Linked DNA regions of Arabidopsis thaliana. The protein of the gene in region 2 interacts with the protein of the main gene of each other region in a pairwise test. Each region holds a gene or a part of one and is shown on either strand. Other genes may lie near its edges. The genes, in order: AT3G62400, HOS3-1, AT1G68380 and AT5G27370.

The links.
Region 1: the proteins of HOS3-1 (region 2) and AT3G62400 interact in a protein complementation assay, tested with the Arabidopsis thaliana proteins (one large-scale study listed by BioGRID).
Region 3: the proteins of HOS3-1 (region 2) and AT1G68380 interact in a protein complementation assay, tested with the Arabidopsis thaliana proteins (one large-scale study listed by BioGRID).
Region 4: the proteins of HOS3-1 (region 2) and AT5G27370 interact in a protein complementation assay, tested with the Arabidopsis thaliana proteins (one large-scale study listed by BioGRID).

Annotation. Positions count from the first base shown.
Region 1 is NC_003074.8:23,087,261-23,092,680, forward strand, and holds AT3G62400 (cytochrome C oxidase subunit), read left to right. Parts: upstream 1-2,335; 5' UTR 2,336-2,443; intron 2,444-3,023; 5' UTR 3,024-3,034; coding exon of another isoform or gene 3,035-3,152; coding exon 3,153-3,413; 3' UTR 3,414-3,561; downstream 3,562-5,420. Other genes in the region: TBL6 (TRICHOME BIREFRINGENCE-LIKE 6), read right to left, coding at 15-324, 405-563, 639-829, 916-1,108, 1,308-1,882; CP12-2 (CP12 domain-containing protein 2), read left to right, coding at 3,746-4,141; BZIP53 (basic region/leucine zipper motif 53), read right to left, coding at 4,584-5,024. UniProt on the Arabidopsis thaliana protein: This protein is one of the nuclear-coded polypeptide chains of cytochrome c oxidase, the terminal oxidase in mitochondrial electron transport.
Region 2 is NC_003075.7:17,346,504-17,352,885, forward strand, and holds HOS3-1 (GNS1/SUR4 membrane protein family), read left to right. Parts: upstream 1-2,714; 5' UTR 2,715-3,007; coding exon 3,008-3,782; coding exon of another isoform or gene 3,783-3,877; exon of another isoform or gene 3,878-4,124; intron 4,125-4,278; coding exon 4,279-4,430; 3' UTR 4,431-4,660; downstream 4,661-6,382. Other genes in the region: AT4G36820 (calcium uniporter (DUF607)), read left to right, coding at 386-943, 1,033-1,491; AT4G36840 (Galactose oxidase/kelch repeat superfamily protein), read left to right, coding at 5,663-6,379. UniProt on the Arabidopsis thaliana protein: Probable very long-chain fatty acid (VLCFA) elongase that controls VLCFA composition and functions to inhibit abscisic acid (ABA)-mediated stress responses, including regulation of stomatal aperture, maintenance of primary root growth and inhibition of germination.
Region 3 is NC_003070.9:25,634,352-25,640,301, forward strand, and holds AT1G68380 (Core-2/I-branching beta-1,6-N-acetylglucosaminyltransferase family protein), read right to left. Parts: upstream 3,112-5,950; 5' UTR 3,043-3,111; coding exon 2,503-3,042; intron 2,221-2,502; coding exon 1,582-2,220; 3' UTR 1,487-1,581; downstream 1-1,486. Other genes in the region: ARG1 (Chaperone DnaJ-domain superfamily protein), read right to left, coding at 49-176.
Region 4 is NC_003076.8:9,663,730-9,668,386, forward strand, and holds AT5G27370 (inactive Serine/Threonine-kinase, putative (DUF679)), read left to right. Parts: upstream 1-3,581; coding exon 3,582-4,157; downstream 4,158-4,657. Other genes in the region: GSH2 (glutathione synthetase 2), read right to left, coding at 4,482-4,605. UniProt on the Arabidopsis thaliana protein: Involved in membrane remodeling.

The DNA.
Region 1 (5,420 bases), on a different chromosome or scaffold from region 2:
GTTTGTAACTGTATTTATCGTTTATGGAGCAAATGGAGGTAAAGGAAGTGGTTCCAAGTATCAGGAACACCAGGGAGACACCAATGGCTGCAATCTTGGACAGCTCTTGAACGCCGGTTTTCGGGTTTTGTTCCGTAAATAGAAGGATGGGCGTCAATTCTGTACTGAGATAAACCGCTAACGTTCAAGAGGGTTACCGGTGTTCTCATTTGCTTCAGTACGTCCTCAACAATGGACTTTTTGCTCGAGTAACTTGGTTTGAAGGTTTGGTTCAACGGCATGTTGGCTTCTCTGCAATGACCTCCTGAGTTCCATTCTCCTCCACTGTCCAAAGATGCAATAAAGAGATGATAATGGAGACATATGATCGGTCTATAAAACCACACGAGAGACAGGACAATGACCTGAAATGAGAAGGTGCAGCGCTTCTAAAGAAAACGCGAGTTTTCTTCGGATCGACATTTTTGTCAACCCATGATGACCAAGTCTGCAAAGCTTTCTTAAAAGCGGTTGATACATCGAGTTTGGGATGAATCAGGTCTCCTTCTTGGTAGTAGTTGACCCTGCAAACCCAAACTAATCAATCAATATCTTGGTTCCATTCTTCTTCTGAAGTTTTAAAGTGAAAAAGTACTGACCCTGATTTGGTTTTGTAATGAGACCACCAATGAGCTGTATTGAACACTAAGATATTAGCACCTTTCCATCTGGAAGAGGTTCGATCCATAGCATCGATTCTAAGTGTTTCTCTTCGCTTCTTTCCTATTCTTGCTCTACCCTCACGAACCAAGAAATGAGTAACATAGAATTCCACAGTGCATTTATAATCCTAGTCAAGTACACAAACATGACATTAACACAACCACACGCCTGAAATACACTTAATGGTCCATTAAGATTAAAGTCATATTGTACCACGAAACGGAAGCTATAATTCCCTTTCTCTTTGGTGATTCTTCGGTTGTGCGTTTCGTATACTCTCTTGGGATCTTTAACAGCTTGAAACAACAAACAAAGCATAGATTCCCATTGGTTCCTATTAATTGAATCTCCAACGAACACTAGCCTCTTGCCTCTAATCATTTCCAGCATCTTTGTAGCATTGAACCTAAACTCACACATACCACAATTTCCAATTCAGGACCATGAATTGCATTCCTACTTATTCAGAGAGATTAAGTGCTCAGTGGAACTATGAATCCCACTTATCATCATCAGTCACTATCACCAACCACTACTACTTCAATAGAGAGATCTTCTTAAAGGCCTACGAGGAAAACAACAAAATTAGAAAGAAGAAATTAAACCTGGGAGCATGACAATCCTGAGGCTCCCATCTCCAATTCATGTAATTAAGATCCAATCTTCCATTGCTTTGACAACCAAATCCTTCATCGATAAAAGGACAAGACGCATTTGTGTACAATGGATAATCACTATCGTAAACCCACTTCCCTTTCGTAACATCACATTCTTCGATTCTCTTCTCTGTCTTCTTATCTTCACCATTGTTGCTCGGAAGTTCAATCACTTTAATCGAAGTTAAATTAGCAATTTCCCTAACTTCCTTAACCAAACTCTCGCCGCTAATCTTCTGCTCAAAAACAGAAATTTTTGAAGACCCGGAAGTGTTTTCGGGTGAATTGAAATGGGTAGAGATCAGAATCGGACTTGCTTGAGGAGAAACTGAAGAATCGGAAATGGCGGCAATAGGGCTTAAATCGATCTGGAAGTTAGCTTCTGGTGTTGGGTAAAGAGAAGAGTTAGATTTGAGTAAGGAAGAGGAGAAGAAAGTGAAGAAAACAATGGCGGAAGAGATTATTGTGATGATGAATGCTAAGACTCTTGTGGACTTCACAGAGAAACTTCTTTGTCTCTCCATCTTCTATCTCTTTATTTATTTTTTCTCTGTAACTGTTATAAGTTAGTTAAGAAAAAACAGTTTCATAATTATCTGTAATCAGAGAAATTTGAAATCGAAAAATGGAACTGTTTGAGAAAAGGATTGAAATTTTGGAGTCGACAAAGGTGGTTGAATTAGTGGGGTATAGAGGAGAGATTCGGTGAAGAAATGATAATGACGTTCTTACAAACTCGTGAGCTCATGAATTTTACAATAATTAACGGAACAGAGGGAAAGATAATGATTATTTAAAAAAGTTCAGGATTAGGAAATTAGTTTAGTGTGTTGACAGATTGGATTTGGCATTATTAACGTGGTGGGACACACTCGGGGAACACGAGCAGCGAATGGTTTACTTTTTTAAAAAGCAAATTCCATAAAATGCCCATTGAAGAAATAAGAGATCAGGCCCATGTTTAAGGCCCAATAAGACACAAATGGAGTAGAGAAGTGATTATCTGCTTACGCAACTTCTTCAATCACCCACCATTTCGTTTTCGTCGTGAGCTTCTGTCTCGTTCATCTACACAATCTGACTCGGTAAAGTCCATATTCTTCCCTTGATGATAATTGTTGTTTCCTTTATGATTTTGTGGTGATTTTCGTTATAGATAGGTGGCGGATTGTGAAGTTACGATTAATTTTTATCAGATTCGAATCCATTTCTCGTTTTTTTTCCCGTGTAGATCGGTGTGCTTAAGATCGGAATTTCTCGTTTAAATCTTCCGTTGATTTAGATTTGATGCTCTTAGTGTTGTGATGCTTTGAAACGTTAATCCTTTTCTTCGGGAGAAATGCCAATTTTATTTTCAGTATCTGGATCCTGTGGATTAGGGTTCTTGTATCATTTTGGGAATAAATTCAAAGCCTTTGATATCTTCCTTTGAATAGAGACGTAGTTAAGAGGTTAGACAGAAAATGGATCGAAATTGTACATGTTTATGTGTATATATAGACTCCAAGTGCAAACCAGTAGAAATTAAGAGATCAGGTAGATTAGTGTGTGTGTGTGTATAGATGTTTTATTGGTTGTCAATAAAGTTTTCAGCTTTAGGAATCGTGAGCATTGTGAAAGTATCAATTATGTTAGTATTGACTCTATGATTAAAATGTGTGCTAGGTTGAGAAGAAATGGCAGGACACAAGGTTGCGCATGCCACATTGAAAGGCCCGAGTGTTGTCAAGGAATTGATTATTGGTTTGACGCTTGGTTTAGCTGCTGGTGGTCTCTGGAAGATGCACCATTGGAATGAGCAGAGGAAAACTAGAACTTTCTATGATTTGCTTGAGAGAGGTGAGATCGGTGTTGTCGCCTCTGAAGAGTGAATGGGAATGCCTCTCTCTCACTCTCAATGTTGTTGGCTCGATTTTTCTGTTTTTATGGTTTCTTGAGATCTCAGATAAGTTACCTAAGAAAGTTGGTTGCTTGAGAAATAAACAACCACTCAGACATCAAAATTGGATATTTGTTAACACATTGTTTTCCGGAGATACAGTGGTTGAAACTTGAGACATCTGTCTTGACTTTTCCTTAAACAGTGTGTGATCATTTTATTATACTTACCAGCTTATTTTTTCTCATCTTTTTTGGATAAAATACGCAACAGGCACTTGTATCTTAGAAAACGGCTTGGATGGCTGCAAATTTTCAACATCGTACTGCTTCATAAACGATATCAAATACGTGGAACTTAATTGTTGGTTAATAGAGGATAAGAAATGGGGTTCACAGAATTAAATTCACGCACACTTCATATATCTTGTTCCCTCCCAATTATCTGAACTATCTTCTTTTATCAAAAACTATATTCACAGGCTGCCGTGTACCTTCTCCATCCAAAGATGGCAACTATAGCTACTGGTCTTAACATTGCAACCCAGCGTGTCTTCGTCACCAGCGAGAATCGGCCAGTTTGTCTCGCCGGTCCGGTCCATTTGAACAATTCGTGGAATCTTGGGTCAAGAACAACTAACCGGATGATGAAACTTCAGCCGATTAAAGCAGCACCGGAAGGAGGGATATCGGACGTAGTGGAGAAAAGCATTAAGGAAGCTCAGGAGACTTGTGCGGGCGATCCTGTGAGTGGAGAGTGTGTAGCTGCGTGGGACGAGGTTGAAGAACTTAGCGCAGCAGCTAGCCATGCTAGAGACAAGAAGAAGGCTGATGGTTCGGACCCTTTGGAGGAATACTGCAAAGACAATCCTGAGACCAACGAGTGCCGTACTTACGACAACTGAAGCGATCAAGATCCTGTTCCGGATTCATACGTATACGACAAATCTTTGTTCCGGTCCATTTGGTAATGTCAGGTTATATAAATCATGTCTTTGAATCTGAATTAGCTCTAAAAACATTTGTAATTTGTAGTTCCATAAACGAATACAAAAGCCAAAATTTCATAACAGGTAATGCGCAGCGAATAATAAGAAAGCTTGAATTCAATAAGAAACACATTAGACACCAATTACATGAGACACAAGACTAGAGGACTGAGGCTACAAAACCATACAAAGACACGAACAAATTGAAATTGCATAAAGATTGCGTTGTCCATTGACAACACAAGACTCAATTCACCAATGACACACTAATTGTTACAACAAGGACAGTAAGTAAAACAGACCAAAGACTCGAACTCAATGCTTCATTTTTGATCCTTCAGATATGAATCATCCATCTTCAGCAATCAAACATATCAGCAGAAGCTCTGATTGGTTGCATTGGACAAGGCATCTGCCAAGGGTTCTGCATAGATTCAGGAATCTCAGGAATATCCAAAGCCTGACCACTAATTTCTTCAACCATCTCAAGCACAGAGTTCAATGATCTCAACCTATCCGTCAACTCCGAAGCCTGTGCCCTCAAGACATTGTTCTTAGACTCCATTTCAATGTATTTCTTTGAAGCTTCATCAACCTGCTCAGTGATTTTAGCGTTATCATTCTTGAGAAGAGTGACTTCGTTGATCAAATCACCAAGTTGCTTCTGTTTCCTCATCCTTGACCTCCGAGCAGATTCTCTGTTAGAGATCATTCTCTTCCTCTTCCTCTCATCCGTCACCGTGGCGTACCTCGGATCATTATCGGATTCAGGACTTGTTTGCATTTGCAACGACCCCATTTCTCGTTGACTTTTTGACTTCTTCTCACCAAAATTAAAATCAATATAATATTATTCTTCTTCTTCTAGAGATATTTTCCTATAAAAACCTCTCAAAAACACAATCTGAAAATCCCCGATTTCTAAATCTATCAAAGAATAAGTTAGATCAAAAACGAAAACTGAGATCGAGAACGATTACTTCATGAGAAAACGTAGGTGTAGTAGAGGTAAACGACGGAGAAAGAGTGTAGAATTCGAATCCGACGAAACAGGATTGAGTAGCTCATAGATTCATTCCTAATTTTGTTTTTTTTTCAAAATTCCCAAAAACCAAACCCTAGATCAAAACAAGCCTCTAAGCCAAATTTCCGATGAGAAAGAAAAAAACCTAGATCTAGATCTAGATCTGAGTGA
Region 2 (6,382 bases):
TTCTTTTTAATTCTGTTGTGTAATTTACTCATAGTCAAATAAGTTATCAAGATATTATATCTTTTTAAAATTTAATCGGACGGTTATTGAGGCATCGAAAGCTATCACCAACATAAATCTATCCACGTGGACGGTAGTCACCTATCAATATTCACGAAAAGGCAGCGTTTATTGAATTTCTCGTGATATATCTGCTGACGTGTATAAGGCCCCACAAGATTTATGTTAAACGTAAAATTAAAACTGTAACAGAGAACTTTGGTTACCTATATAAAGCTCGCTCTTGCTGTTTCATTTTTTCAAGTAGTAACTGAAATCGAATTCATTTTCTTCTCTTCCTTTCTGGGATTTCGATTTTTCGTATTTTTTTTTTGTTCTGTTCGTCATGGTGATGATGAAGAAGCTTTTGTCGAACCGTTTGTTCAATATGTCAAAAACGGCGTCGCAAAGTCTCATGAACTGTCGTACTTCGTCTTCTTCTTCGTTAGCCATGCGAACTAGGGTTCCTAAAGATATAGGAGAAGCCACGATTGATCCAGAGCCTGGAGATTTGACGATTTCTCAGAGGTTTTTGAATAAATTCTCCATGAATGGGATTGATACGACTTCGAAGATGTCTATTGGGGAGAGTCTGATGGAGAAGCTTAAAGAAATGGATATGAACAAGGATCGGATTCGATTAGACGGACTTTCTCATCCGAAGGAGGAGACGTTAGGGCTTACTGTGCAAGACGTGAAGAAGTTGCTAAGAGCAGCAGAGATCGAAGTTATTAAAACGAAGCTGATGGAGACAGGAAAAATCTGGATTCGTTACTCAGATTTCTTAGGTGTTTGTAGTGATTCTTCTTTGGATCCTTCTCAAGGAGCTTTGATCGCTAAGATGCTTGATGATTCAGGAAACGTTATCGTTATGGGAAACTCTGTTTGTTTAAGACCTCATCAGGTAACTTCTTCCTCCTCTTTGCTTTTTTTTACCATTTGAATTCTTTTTTGTCTATGCAATTCTCTGATAAGGTCTTGTGTGTTGATCAGTTAACCAAATCCATAGAGGGGCTTCTTCCTTTATCACAAATCCATAACCCGAATGACCCAAGAAGAAAGGAGCTAAATGAGCTTGAAGCTATAAAGACGGTCATTGACCAAAAAGCACATTCTTTGGTGAGAAGAGAGCTTTGGGCTGGTTTGGGTTACTTGATCATCCAAACCGCAGGGTTTATGAGGCTAACGTTTTGGGACCTGACATGGGATGTTATGGAACCGATCTGTTTCTATGTCTCATCGGTATATTTCATGGCGGGTTACACATTTTTCCTCAAGACATCGAGAGAGCCTTCCTTTCAAGGTTTTTACCAAAGCAGGTTTGAGGCTAAACAAAGGAAACTGATGCAATCTGAGGATTTTGATGTTGGGAGGTATGATGAGCTGAAAAAGCTGTTTAATCCCAAGCCTTCAGGTGCTGTTCCCAAGATTCTTGGATCTCTACAGAATTGATCATTGGTGTCTCGTTGTCCTACTAACCTGAGAAAGATATATTGACCCCCAAAATTGTGTCAAACTATAATTTTTGAATATTTCATAATCTTTCTAGGAAAATAGGAAAAAGACAAAAAAAAAAAAAAAAAGTTCTATTAGTGCGGCTTATGTAATTTGGAAGAGTAGATAAAAGAATCGATTGTGATGTAGATTTATAAATTTCAAGTCTGACTTTCTGAATGTTAAATGTTACAATACTTCCATGCATATGCATATGAGATATCATTACTTTAAACATGTTATCTATACCAAAAACTCAACAAAACCTTGTCATTTGAGGCCTAAATCTTAGTTGAAGCCAATTCCGAAATTAGTTTTAGTTTTAACTTAAATGATTTTTAGTTTATAAATTAAACAAGTATAACATATGCTTAATGATTGTTTCGGCGGGCTTACATAAATGATTGATAGAACATGTTATGCGTGGGAGTAGTCGTTGTAAGTTCACCGTCCAAGTCTCCTTTTAATTAATTCACGAGAAATCAACTACGACCGTGTAAATAAAATACTTAGTTTGGTAGGTCAAGAATCACTTCTGGAAAATGAGACTAAAGAAAAGAGTCACTTGTGGAAAATACTATCAAGTGGACAAAACCAAATTCCTCATAGTGAAAAAGAGATATATTACACTGTTCCTGCCGCATTTGTTTGGTACGTATCTAATATTTTTGTTTACTCACGTGGTACTATAACGCTTATTGCCAATATAACGATTAGGACAATTTGATTTCTACTAATTTTATTTGATACGTATCAAATATCTTCTGTCTTAGCTGGTCATCAAATTGTGTGAAATAGTAATTTAATACTAACTCGTTACTGATTACTGATGTAGATTCATCTTCGTAACGATCGCCCGATCCATATTCCAATATTTGCATTTTGTTTTACGTAATGCACTCTTTCTCATCTGTAGCTCCTTGAGTAAAACTTAAAACTTAACCATGAAGGCATCTGTAAATTGACGCTTGTCTGAATTTCTCAACACCAAACTCTCTTTCGTGTCTAGAGGTTCTTTGGTTTTCCCACCTGCTTTTCGATTATGGTAATGGTCAACTTGACGCGTACCAAGTTTTCTGATCTTTTTGAAGATATTTCAAATATGGTTTGCTATTTCGATTTTCGACAATAACAGTAAAACCCCATTAAGACCATAAATCTTAAAAATTTTCATAACCGTTTTACAATATTCATTTATGTAGCCAAATTAAATTTGTCACGTAAATGTGACAATTAATATTGGTCCACATCATTTTGCTTTCATGACAAGACCGGCCATTTAGTGACCTACTGTATGTTCTACAACAATTATTGGAAAATGGAAATTAAATATCCCAACAAAAAAAATAAGAGCAGAAACAGAGATTCACTTTGCGAAAAAGTCGCACGCACACATATAAAAGACAGGACTAGAGGAACAGAGGAAGAAGAAGAGTCACTGTGATCACCACCACCGTACGATCAAATTCAAACTATGTCAACGGCTCTGATTAACTCTATTACCTACTTCCTCTCCGAACATCCATACATCGTCGGATTCCGTTGGAGTAACAGCCAATCATGGGGCTCCACGTGGTCTTTCCTCTTCACATCAATCTCCCTCTATATCGCCGTCTCATCCTCCCTCCACATCCTCCTCTCCGCCGTACGCCGAAGTAACCGTTCCGTTCCTTTAGGTCACATCCCCGAAATCCACAGCCTTCTCATGTCGATCCTCTCCGCCACCATTTTCGCCGGAATCCTCCTCTCCGCTGCCGCAGAGATCCGTGACACACGGTGGTTATGGCGGCGGAGCAAAACCGCCACTCCTCTCCAATGGCTTCTCTGTTTCCCTCTCGGGACTCGTCCCTCTGGTCGTGTCTTCTTTTGGTCATACGTGTTTTACCTCACGCGCTTTCTCCACATGTTCCGTACGATTTTCGCCGTTTTACGTAGCCGGAGGCTCGCCGTGTCTCAGCTCTTTTGTAACTCCGTCATGGCCTTCACGTCTTTCCTCTGGCTAGAATTCTCGCAGTCGTACCAGATTCTAGCGATTCTATCGACGACTCTGGTTTACTCGGTGGTTTACGGTTATAGATTCTGGACCGGGTTTGGTTTACCCGGTTCGGCTTTCCCTTCGTTTGTGGTGAATTGTCAGTTGGTTCTCGTGGGCTGTAATCTCGTGTCTCACGCTGGGGTTCTTACGATGCACCTCTTTAAAGGTGGATGCAATGGGATTGGCGCGTGGGGTTTAAACTCGGTTCTCAACGGTGCGATTTTGTTGCTTTTTCTTAACTTTTATGTGAGAATGCATTCGCCAATGCGACGCCATATTAATAAAATGAATAGCCAACGTAACGCTTAAGAATTAATTGATCCTTTTTACTAGTTTTTACTTTTTACTCAATAAAACAAATCTAATCTTCTTTTTTGTCTTTCACTTTTAAAACTGAAGTATAATCTAATTTGTTTTCTAATAACTAAAATGTTCTGCGTCTAGGTCTGTACATCTTCTCAAACCGGGACAATTTTTTTTTTATAAACCATCGATCTCTGACTTTGCATGAGATATTTTACATTTGAACTATTGGCTCTTAGTTAACGCAATCTAGTTCTTGTTTTTCATTCTTTTAAATCTAGTTTTGTGTTTTTTAAGTGGAAAGAAATTATGTCGATTATTTATAAATATATCTTTAAAAATATTTATTTATTTCATAAGAGGTTTTTGATCCAAAGACTCAAACTTGGGGTAACTTTATGACGTAGATATACCACAATACCCACCAAAATGTGGTGATAGAGGAAACAAAGGTTTACATGGTGGATCATGGACGAGGATGATCAAAAGCTTATACTCTTTACCAAGTGAAAATGCATTTTGGATAAGAGGAAAAATTATTAAAAGCGAGAAAACATAATATGGTTTGAGACTGATGTGTTAGATTGTAAGAGCTGCAATTGTATCTCTCTACTTGGGGACACACTTTTGATTTTCTATTTACCGTTTGAATGCCGTATAAGGAAATGTACAGGTCAAACGAATATGGTCGAGTGTTCGCCTTAGACCATTGTATAAGGAAATGAACTATGTCGACTATATTTAATATTTGGGCCTAGTATAATATTACTACACTTAATCAAAGTTAAGGCATTTATAACTGTAGAACAAGATGGGCCTAAGGCCACGGTTTTCTACTTAACTAGGCACACATATGACATATCCCATAGTAAAAAAGCTTACATAATAAGGCCCACATCTGAAATCTGATTCTCCACTGTAAAAATAAAATCCTCTTAAGCTCTCGATCGATGGTTCTGCAATCTCACAAACCAGAAACAAAGAGTCCAGGCTCTTGCAACCAACCGCGGAACTTGTTGAAAGGCGACGAGGAGAGAGAATTTCAAATCTCTCCAGATCAAAGTGAAACACAAGTACAACAAGTAACCGACAAAGTGAAGCGCAAGTACTTGTTTCTTTCCTTTTCCTTTAATATTTGTTAATTTGAGAAAAGTAAAAACCATAAAATATATATAGTTTCTGTCCGAATCGGCCTATCTTCACAAAATCTCGATTCCAATCAAGAATTTATGGCAAGAAAGGTCGATCAATCAATCAGATGATTATGGATCTAGAGATCTCTAAATTTGTGTTGTTGTGAATTGAGAATGCGAGAGCATTCGACGATGTACAATTACGCCCCCGAAGTGCCACCGCAAAGTAAAAGGAAGAAGACGATGAATGAGGCGTCTCCGTCGTGGTCTGGATTACCGGATTCTGTGGCTGTGAGTTGCATGGCTCGCGTCTCGAGATTGGACCAAACAGCCTTATCTCTCGCTCCAAGAAATACCGCTCTCTCGTAACATCCCCTGAGCTCTGCAGCACGCGATCGCTGATTGGTTGCACTGAGCCATCTTTCTTCGTCTGCTTGCGCATCTTACCTGATCCAACCCCTCGCTGGTTCGTCCTTACGGGTAGTCGTCGACTGAGGCCGGTCCCATCGCACCCCTATCAGGCTCCGGAATCATCTTCTTTTGTGGTAGTGAATTGGGGGATCTATGTTATGTAATCGGTGGAATCATAAACGGCAATCCCACTTCCGATGTCTTGTTCCTCAACTGTTTTTCTCAGACATGGCACCGCGTCCCGTCTATGAAGATGGCTCGTGCTTCCGCATCGGCAAGCCTCATAGACGGGAAGATCTACGTTTTTGGAGGGTGCCCAGAGGACGCTGATTCCTCAAACTGGGCGGAGGTATTCGATCCAGTTTACCAAACTTGGGGTATATTTAATACGCCGAAGATGGCCCATAGTATCAACCAAAGTGTGGTGATAGAGGAGAAGAAGGTTTACGCCGTGGATGAGGAGGACCAAAGCTTTAGCTTCTTGCCAAGTGAAGGTAGAATCTGGAAAAGCGGAAAAAAAGATTCTAAGGTAGGAAGTAGACACGATTGGTGTGTCATTGGGAAATTACTATACTGTCGTGCTACTCGCGGTAGAATACTATGGTGCCAACCAGATGAGTTGGACTGGAAAGAGGTAAAAGGTTTGGAACAGCTACAATTGTATCTCTCTGGTACAAGATACATCTTCAGACGTACCTCTGATAAACGACCGTCAAAGACCAACGTCAAATATGATATTAGAAAAATCTCTAGTAACTCTGCTGGGAACATTGTCATCTTCGGGAACGCACATATTGGAGACCCTGAGTGTGTGGAGCTTTGGTCTGCCGAGATTTCCATGGAGAGGCGCGAGGGAGGTGAGATTTGGGGGAAGATTGAGTGGTCCAATGTTGTCTTCAAACTTGATCCTCTCTCAAACTCATATAGCGTTGATGTCTTATTTTCTGCTTCTGTCCATTTGTGATAT
Region 3 (5,950 bases), on a different chromosome or scaffold from region 2:
AAGCAAAATCAGTTTTGATATCGTTATAATCGGAAAATTTTGGCTTACTTGAGAGCTAATTTTCTGTAAGCGGATTTGATTTCTTGATCATTAGCGTCCTTTGATACACAAAGGACCTCGTACGGATCCCGTCGATTCGCCGGAGCCGACGAACCTTCAAGCTTTTTCGCGCTCATCTTCTCGAAGAATTTGAAATCACAAATGTTCAAATTCGAAGGGGAATTTGCAGATCCAACAGCGGCGGACCTAGAATAACGCGATTTCAGGTATCTTCAATCGAGAAATTGAACGAATTTGAAACCTCGGAAAAGAAACGATGAAGAAAGGAGGATCTAAAAAGCTCACAAAATAAGAGAGATTGGGGAAGAAGAAGATCGAGGAAAAAAAACGAAACAAGGGTTTCCGAAAAAATAAAAGGTACTATTAAATTTATTTTATTCGTTTTGGACAAACTAACTCGTTGATTTTTCATATTTAATTCGATGACTTTTTAAGGAAATCGAAAATTACTGATTTTTTTGTGGCCATTACGAAGTTTTATTATAAGAGTGATTATATTATTATTGATATTATTTTAATAATATCATTTGTGATATGGTAAGTCAAAAATTGAATTTTTGTAGAAAATGAATTGGAATTATGTTTTGGGTCACATAAATATATGTAAAATTGAATTTGAATGAATAAAAAAAAAAAAAAAAAAAAACTAAATATAGCAAAATGGAATAATCAATATGTAAATGGGGAAAAAATCAACAATTGTATAGAAAATTTTGCCATTGGTGGTGGTGCTTCTCATTAGGTTCTTGCTTTTTGTGCTATCTTTTTAGGTGTTTCTCATACTAGAACATGCTTGATTAAGATAAAATCTTCACATTTCTGTTACTAATAGTGTTTCTCTTGTCGAACATTTACGACTTTTGGCTTGAGAAGGTCTTGTTTATATGTGGTTTAGCCTTTGTTTCTGTTTCTACAACTTGATAAATTGCGTTTTGAGTGTTGCCCAAAAATGGATGTGTATTGAGCTGCTTAATTAAGATCTTCTTCACATTTCTTGGTGGTAGTAGTGTTTTCAAGTGTTTCTTTGGTTAAACATTTGTGGCTTAGTTTCTATCTCGCTTAAGAAGATGGGAGAAGGAGATTAAATATCTGACATGACTTTATTCTTCTTTGAGTATTCAGGTGTCTAGGCAAAACTTTTAGTCCTATTAGTAGCAATTTGTTCTTTTTTTTCTTTTCCTATTTTTCTCTTCTATAAGTTCTTACCATATGAGTATACATTGTCTGCAGAGTTAGGTGCTAATATGAATGGATACCTTCTCATAAATGCTAATGGAGGACTAAACCAAATGAGATTGGGGGGTCAGGCTTTTGTGTTTTCTCAATGTTTCTCAAGTTATCTTCTGTTTATAACTTGATGACAGGCTAGTTCCTAACTTTATCAAGGACTTTGATTAATCTCACATCCCTAGTACTGAAAGTAACTTGTTAAGCACACACTGTATATTTCACTTACTTAAAGAAGATTTGGTAGTTAAACCGATTGCATCTTTGTTTTTGGACGAAGGGGGAAGAGAGTGATCAGAAATACATGACGATAGATGCTAACCGGAGTAACTCATCCAAAGCAGTCGACGAAAACTTGCGAGCAAAGAGAAAGCAAAGTCTCATCTTATTTTCTCCATTTTTCTTACAATCACCAACACTCTTCATCCTTAGCCACTCCAAGAACTCCACATTAACCTCCCACTCACCAAACAATCTCGGGTGAGCCCTACGCTTGCTCCAGTCAGTCCAAGTAAGCGTCCTATTCGCGTTACGCAACCCAAGGCTCGGCCTCATGTTGAGTAGCGTCGGGATATAGTGCTCGTCGGGGCAGCGAGAGTAAGCTTTAAAGATTGGCCAGTAGAACGTATCAGAGACTACCTCGAGGGCCATGGCTCGGTCTAGCTCGAACCACTGAGAGCCTTTTCGCCATTGGTGCATGCGGATGTGAGGATACATGCGGCGGTCATAGCGGACGCGACCGATTGTGAGGTCGTAGGAGTCGACGTGGGTTAGAGTGGAGTCGATGAGGAAAGAGTAAACTGTGGAGAAGTTGAAGAGAGGGATGCATGATTCGGAGAGAAGAATGAAACGTTCGTTGTTGATGTCTAATAAAGCGTTTGCTAATAACCTTCGTTCTGCTTCTACCATGTTTGCGTTTCCCCAATCCACTCTCTGCATACGTTTATAGTTAATGACATTGGATTGATTTTATTTTATGTATTATAGTGTAATAATTAATATGTTTTCTTTTAAGATACCAAATATTCTTATATTTTTATGTAATTTACTAAAAAAGATAGGAAAAATATCGTATTCATGTACTTCGATCCGTTATATATATATATATATATATATATATATTATTTATAATATATTTATAAATTTTATTTATCACGTTAATTCCAAACCTATTAATGTATCGAAATAAATTTCTTAATAATTTGGGAAGCTGACCTTGCTTGGAATACGGCGGCCATAAAACACAGAGTCTTGCGGCATGAACTCGTCGTAAGACGAATTGGTGTGAACGTAGATAGTGAAAAGACCTTCATGACCTCGAAAGAACCTTTCCCATAGAGGAGCCAAAGGTAAAGGTCCCCAAGTCAAGAACATGAAAGCAACCTTCGGGATTCTAGGATAAGGGTAATCCCTGATCTTAGGATCCATTGAAGCTCTCCACAGAAGTTCATTATCTTCCATATCGTGCATGATGTTCTTCAGTGGTATCAGAAACATGTCAAGCCCATTGTCCTGAAATGAAGGAGAAAGAATAGGAGGAGGAGGGGTTACAAAGAAGAGTTGGGAGACACTTTGGATGGTTAACGAAGAAGGCGAAGATAATCCTTGTAGAGAGGGATAAACAATGATTCCAACTATCACGCCGATCCAGAGGATGAAGAAATACAAAAGGAGATTGTGGAAATGGTGGAGTAGTTTCTTGAGAAGCTCTATCACTTGAGATAATGGTGAGTTTTGGTCCTTTTGGGTCGGCATTTCCAACTACCGATACATGTGTAAGAGAATTCTTGTTTCCAATGTTTTAAGGGTTAAAAAGAGATACATGGATCTTACTTCCTAGTTGGAATGAGGTTAAAAAGTGGAGAAGAGCAAGTAAAAGTGGAGATCTTGTGGCGTGAGTGATTAACTCGTAAAAACAAAAATACACACGCAATGGAATATAACATTTTGAGGCAGTTTTTTGATGATCCAAGCAAAGTCAATTGGGTTATATACGTAGCATCTTATTACTACTCTTTCACTAGCATTAATTCTTTAAACTAAAATTACAAATTTCCTTACATCAATATTAATTTACTTTTTTAAAAAGATTGATAGGAGTAGACTAACCAATCTTTGTCTTTGAATGAACTATTTCGCTATATGTCCATGCAATATATATTTTTTTAAGTTCGTTTTCCCAAAATCATATTTCTTTGTTATAAGTGGATATAATATTGATGGTGGTTTAAATGTTTTACTTGTAGTTTCGCTATATACTTTTTTTTATCTCTTGGTCGCATGTTTAAGTTTATTGCTTTTACTTATTAATATACCTTATACCTATATGATTTATCATTCTTTCGTTTTTGCTCATAAGTTTATTGCATACCTTGTCAATAATATACATTATTTTCTGGTAATCGTTCACAAGACATCCTTGAAACCTCCACGTTTACATTGCTTAACGCTTGCAACAATTTCATTGTATATATAAAAAAAAAGATCGTAATGAAAACAATATGAAGCTTATATATATATATATATATAGCACTACAAGTTAAACCTAATTTGTTTTTTTTTATAACTACCGGAGTGACTTTATCTACAAGAATGAAAATGACGCAGCCATAAAAGCAGGATCGTGTAGATTGCTATTAAAAACCTAAGTGAACAAAGATGTGAATTTCATTTACTCGATGTTTATAGTATGCAATAGACATGGTACCAACTCTTACAGATAATATATTCAACCGCGTAGACATTAAATCAAGAGGTAAACTGGAGAAACAATTACATACGTGGGAAATAATTTTTTTTATCGAACGGCGACCTACATGCTTTGTCTAATAGTCTTTACCAGTTGAGCTATTGAAATTGGTTTCGTATGTTTTCTCTTAGACGAAATATCTCTTTTTGTATTTTTTTATTTATTTATCAAATGAAAGTGACAAACATTATTTGCTTAAAGCTTTTGTTAGAAAATTAATCTCATGTAACTCAGATATAGGATTTTTTCATGGTTTATCTTTTACTTCTTACAAAACTGTAGATCCATGGATGCAAAAAAAAAAAAATGATCCATGAGACTATGTGAGTGAAAAGGATTTAACCTATGTAATTAAATTGAAGATTTTATATATTATGTATTTTCTACTTAAGTAATAGATTTTCGAGGGACAGTTATATCAGGCCATTCATACAAAGCCATTAGAGTATTCAAACATTAACTATATACACAGAATATAATTATAGTTGATATGAAACTAAGTTGAAGTCAACCTTGCGAATTCTAAACTGAAAGAATATTACTTTTTTGTTTGGTTCAAATAAAAGAAAATTACTTGTTGCACTATATAAATATTGATAAATAAATTGATTGGTCAAATTTACGTGTAGTTGCACATTGTTGAAAGCTGTAGGGTGAAGAGACAATAATTGTGCAAACAAGTGGCATCAACCCTGGGAATGTCATGACGTAGTGTAGGAAAAATGCATTCCATTCCATTTGGGTTACAGAACCGTCATGTTAGACGAGACTCATGCATGGTAATGATGGCTGAGTTAAAAACAACAACAAATATGTGATCATTTGGGTTCACTAGTGATACGAGAATATGCGTTTTCCATCACGGCTGCTTCCGAGAACTTTACAACAACATATATGTGATCATTTTGCTAGCTATGATACAAATTCTAGAGTGTAAAAAATAAACAAACAATAGTATCATGTATAGCTAACAAAATGATCCACAAGGTGAAAGTAGGCTAGTAACAGTGGTATTTTCTAAAATTTGAAATTTTATTGTTATTCCGAGAACTTCACAACATAACGTATGAGCCCATGGCTGGCCAAATGAAGTAATGGTTTGGAACCCATTTTATGATTTTTTTTTTTTTGTAAATATATAAATAGCTATGGTATATTTAAACAAATATGGTTAGAAGAAAAGTAACAACTACGTTTTTAATGTCGATTTTATAATATATATATATATATATATGTATAGTTATTATTTTCTTAAAACAGATATAAATTAAATTTAAATAATTATATCTATATTAAAGGGCTCTTATTTTTTTTTTGAGAATATTACACTGTAAAACACTTTTTAAAAAACATTTCCGTGGTTAGACACTTTCTAAAAAGAAGGCACTTTGAATGTATAATTTGACCAATTTACCCTCTAACCATATATCGCTTTATCTCTCTCATCCACCTATTCTTTCAAAAAATAAACAAAACTCAAGCCAAAAAAATATATTTATACCTTTTTCTTTCTTTCCTTTTCAACAAATCATCAGCTTTTATGAGAAAGAGAGATTGAGATTCACCTTCTTTAATTTTTCGCGTGTGCTTTGATCTGACTTGAAGGAAAAAAATTTCAGACCATCAATTTGAGAATCTGTCCTATCTGGCTGATTTAGTTACATGACTCGTTGAATGCTTGAATTGGATTTACAGTTTGGTTTTCGTTTTATGTTTTTGCTGTTTGTTGCAAAATTAATCTCATTACTTGCTCTTTGATTCTTTGTCTTGCTTTTCCAATTTCATATTCGAGATTATTCTCTTGAATTGGAGATTAAAGCCTCGTAGTGGACTTCGAATCGTTTGATAGTAATGGTCGAATCACTAGTTGATGGAACTCGTTGCTTAGTTCATGTTCTGTGAATTTGATTCATG
Region 4 (4,657 bases), on a different chromosome or scaffold from region 2:
CAATATCTTCTGTTCTCTAGTGTAAAATAAGTGCCATGTTTGTTTTAACGTTTTAAACATGTCTCTCTTTTTCCTTTTGTAAATTACCTTTTTGTTGATAAAATTAAAATAACATTTCAACAAAAATAAATAAAAAAAATCATTTCCAACCAAAAATAGACTTCACCATTTTATTTTAGACTGACTTCTTACCACTATCCCAACACTAAATGGATCAGATTCTGAATATTATAACTAAGTGAAATTACAATATTTTTTTACGAAAAGTATTATAAACATATTGTCCATAGTCTTTTTGTGTCCGAAACCATAATTAGTTGTTTGTTTGTTTTTCGGACGGAAAGAAAAATTAGTTTTTAGAGATATTGTTAGGATTCAAACCCATGACTTGGTCATCTTTAAACTTAAAAGATCTCAAACTTAATAGATATTTGGGGATTTGAACAAACAAAAAAAGAAGATATTTGGGGATGTATCCATATCATCACCAAAATAAAGGATTATTAAGAGGAAGTATACTCTTCGATAAACCTAATCTCAAATGAAACTGAACTGAACCTAACAAGAGATTACTAAATCGAAATCTAAGACTGAGTTTGATCATAGAAATGAGATATTTACTCTAAAGATGTTGAGTTTGGTATTATATCTCATAATCATTGGAATTGTTTCTTGGCTAATAGAGTTTGAGAAACAATTCCGATGATTAACAAATATGATGGCATAATTAAGTGTTACATATATCATATATGATATAGTGAGGCTTGTTAATTCTCGGTAATCATCAAGAAGGATTGTAGATAATAAATTATTATTATTAATGAAACGTTACTTTGCTCCCGTTTCTCAAAGAAAATGACCACTGTTCGCTGTTTCTTTTAATGTTTACGAGATCCTTACCCGCACATACGTGCGGAATTTCATATTTTTGGAATTTTATATTTTTAGTTCAATGTAGATTTTTTTGTTATTTTATGATATATATTATAGTATAATGTATTAGATATCAGAACTCGCATATACGTGCAAAATATGAAAAAAAGTAATAGATTTTTAAAATATATATAATATTTTGTTATAAGTAAACTTTGTAATAGTATAGATATTATAAAGGTAAGAATAACAACCAAAATTCAATTGTGTTCGTGTATAATTATATTTTAAAATCTGGACTCACACGGGGAAATAACCCAAACTAAAACCAAATTTATATCCTATTTTACACCAGTAATCAAACTGTTATAATGTTTTGATTAGTTTAGAAAATTAAAACGTATATTTGACGTATATTTCTTGGAACGGAAAACCCATAATGTGATGTATCTATCATAAATTCTTCGTTCCATAACCCGTCTGTATATGTGAAATAAAAATACTACCAACGCCCATCACAAATAGAATTTGTGTCACAAAATACGTACATGCAGGGTTAATTTATTTTATATAGTGCTCATAACCCAAACTCATACCAGTTGGATATTTAATTTGATGTCCAGTTTGGTTTCAAATTTCTTTATATAGTGCTTCCGTTTCTTTTCATGTCGTTTGTGTCTCATAATTCCTATTTTCATTTCATTCCATTGAAAATACGTTCCAAAATTCTTATTTGCTTACCTTTAAATATCATGTTATATATGACTGAGTTTTGCGGATTAACATATAGGATGTTAAAGTTTACAAATATATCATAAATTAAAACACAAAAATACTCTTTCTTGATTTTTTTTCAAATTCAAAAATATGAATAGCATTATAACAAATAATTTTGTAAAAATTTATATTTTAACAAATGTAATAATGTTTATTTCCTTACCTACATGTTTAATATTCTTCTTTCCCTTGTTTAATCATAATTAATTGGATTTTTGGAATATAATTAAAATTTTGAAATACCCCTACAAAAGCAATTTATTTTGCTGGATAATTTGTTCTGAATGAAAAATGTATAATTAGTTTATATTATTTCAAAAGTTTGTGCACTAATATATTATAGATTTATTTGAAAAAAGATCCGGTTGAAAAATAGAAAAAAGAAAATCCAAAATATTTCAAAATTAGTATGTAAAATTTATTGTTTAGATATTTCTAAATGTAAGGCATAATGATAATTATTTTAAATTAATTATTTTAGTTTAATTCATAGTAAATATTAATATTTGTAACATCTTATCTCGTTTTTAAAAATTTTAAAATAAATTTTCGTTTTATATTTCAAAATACTTAACCCAAAATTCTAAATTGAATTTATTTATCTATCACAAATTATGATTTTTTTATTCATGATATCAAGCAAGTCTTATGATTTTTTAAAATTTTAAAATAAAACTTAACTTCCAAAATGTTAGTTTAATAATATTGTATAATTTGATATCAAATCTAAGTTTTTCAATTTTTATTGGTTAACAAATTTTAAGAAATATATTTTATTTTTTCGTCTATAATTAATAGGAAAGAGAAAGTGAGTTTAATTTTGGGAAACTAATAATTACTTAAAAGAATATTACCAATTTTTATATTTAAATATATTAATTTTGTGATTACTATTGTATTCTTAATAAATTTATTTAAAAACACTAACAATCAATGGCATTCTATGTAATATTTTACCCTTCATAAGGTTGTTTATTTTCAATGATTTCCAATTAATAGTATAGATGCATCTCGCAACTGGATTTTTTTTTTTTTTTTTTTGTAAAGGATCTTCATGAAATTTCATCAGATGAAAATTTTACGGTTCGCTTAATGAGAAACGGTTCGATCTTTATGTGTGCAAGGTTAGTAACATCTTACATTTTCATACATATTTTCATTTCGTCATATTATTTATATAAAACAAGAATACAAGATATATATTTTAAATGAAAGACCATTAGACGTTACATGTATTTTGTGTTATAAAAATTGACGTATTTTTGTAAGACCGAGTCACCAAAATGAGTTAGGTACAACCGTGCAAGATATCGCTTAATGGACTCAATTTCATAGAACATGCACATCTCCAATTATTTACGTTTTAGCTCAAATATTATGTTTTTTTTTTCCTAAGATTTGTTTTTTCTTTCCCTGGCAGATTTGATTAATCAAATAATGCATGTGTGTGTGAACACGTAAAAAAATCGTGTCCCAACTTGTTTATGGCCATGCAAAAATAACGAATCGAATTTTGTAAAAAATAGCACTTTCATAAAAGTATTTTGACACTTTAAGATCTAAACACGAAATAAGAGCGTACCTCCACTTAATATCTTGATGCACCATAATTTCATTAACGACTAGCCAAAGTTATAAACCACAAACTAAGTTCCAATATATAAACTAACTTCTAACAAAAAAGGGTTATCCAAATGTGTATATCTATAGTTCTTTATTTTCTTTTGACAAAATGTGGAAATATATAGTAACAAAACTAAATATATATTACATATTCGGACACCAAATAAAACTCGACATCTTTAAGAAATGTATATAAAGACGCATCAAACATATCCTCACGCATGCATGCATTACGTATAGAAGAACATACAAAACACTCTTTCTCCACATAACATACAAACTTTCCTCACTTCCGATCAAATTACGAAATGGAGGCGTCGTTCATTAGATCGCTACCGTCTGCCGGAAACTTCGCCAACCTATTGCCGACCGGGACCGCCCTCATATTCGAAACCCTACTACCGTCTTTCTCCAATGGCGGCGAGTGCAACAACAAACCCGTCAATAAACTCCTCACCATTACTCTCATCTCCTTTTGCGCCGCGGCTTGCTTCTTCTCCTCCTTCACCGACTCATATGTAGGCCAAGATGGCCGCATTTACTACGGAATTGCCACCTCTAACGGTCTCCACATCCTCAACGACTATCCAGACGAAGGTTATGATCCAGAGTCCGGCTTAACGGCTGATAAGAGAGAGAGATATAAGCTCAGTTTTGTAGATTTCGTGCATGCTTTCGTGTCGGTTATCGTGTTCTTAGCGTTAGCCGTAGAGAGCTCGGATTTTCGGAGGTGTTTGCTCCCGGAGGACGATGAAAACAGTTGGGGTGGTCATTTTGTACTTATGATCAAGTACTTTGCTGTTATGGTGTTGACAATGGCAAGCTTCTTCTTTGCTATCTTTCCCTCAAAACGGAGAGGCATCGGAATTTCAGACATTCGTTGATTCATAACATTTATTTGTGTATGTACATATATGTGCCTATGGTCTAAATATGTTGCTATGGTAATAATCTTTATACCCCAAATTCCATGATTGATCTTATCTTATTCAATTCATGATCTTTATAAACGAGTAATCATCTCACACGGTCTAAAAATAACAATAAGCAATGTAGGCTTTGCGGTCCTGTGGAAAGAATTGTAAAGAGCTTTGCCTAGTCTTATTGATCTTCATGATTAATACACAAATCTTTAACAAGCAAGAAGAGAAGAAGAAGGAATAAACCAGAAGAAAAACTGATCAAGATGGTTGTGAATGTTATCCATCTCAAATCAGATATATGCTGTCCAAGACTCCAAAACCAGCTGCAACGCCGCCTTCATCTGATGATGCGATCTTCGTGCGCATTAGATAACCACTCTGCTCGTTTACTATAACTTCGTCTTTGCTCCTACATATTTCATTTAATCAAAGATTATGGCACAAAATTAAGTTGAGAATTA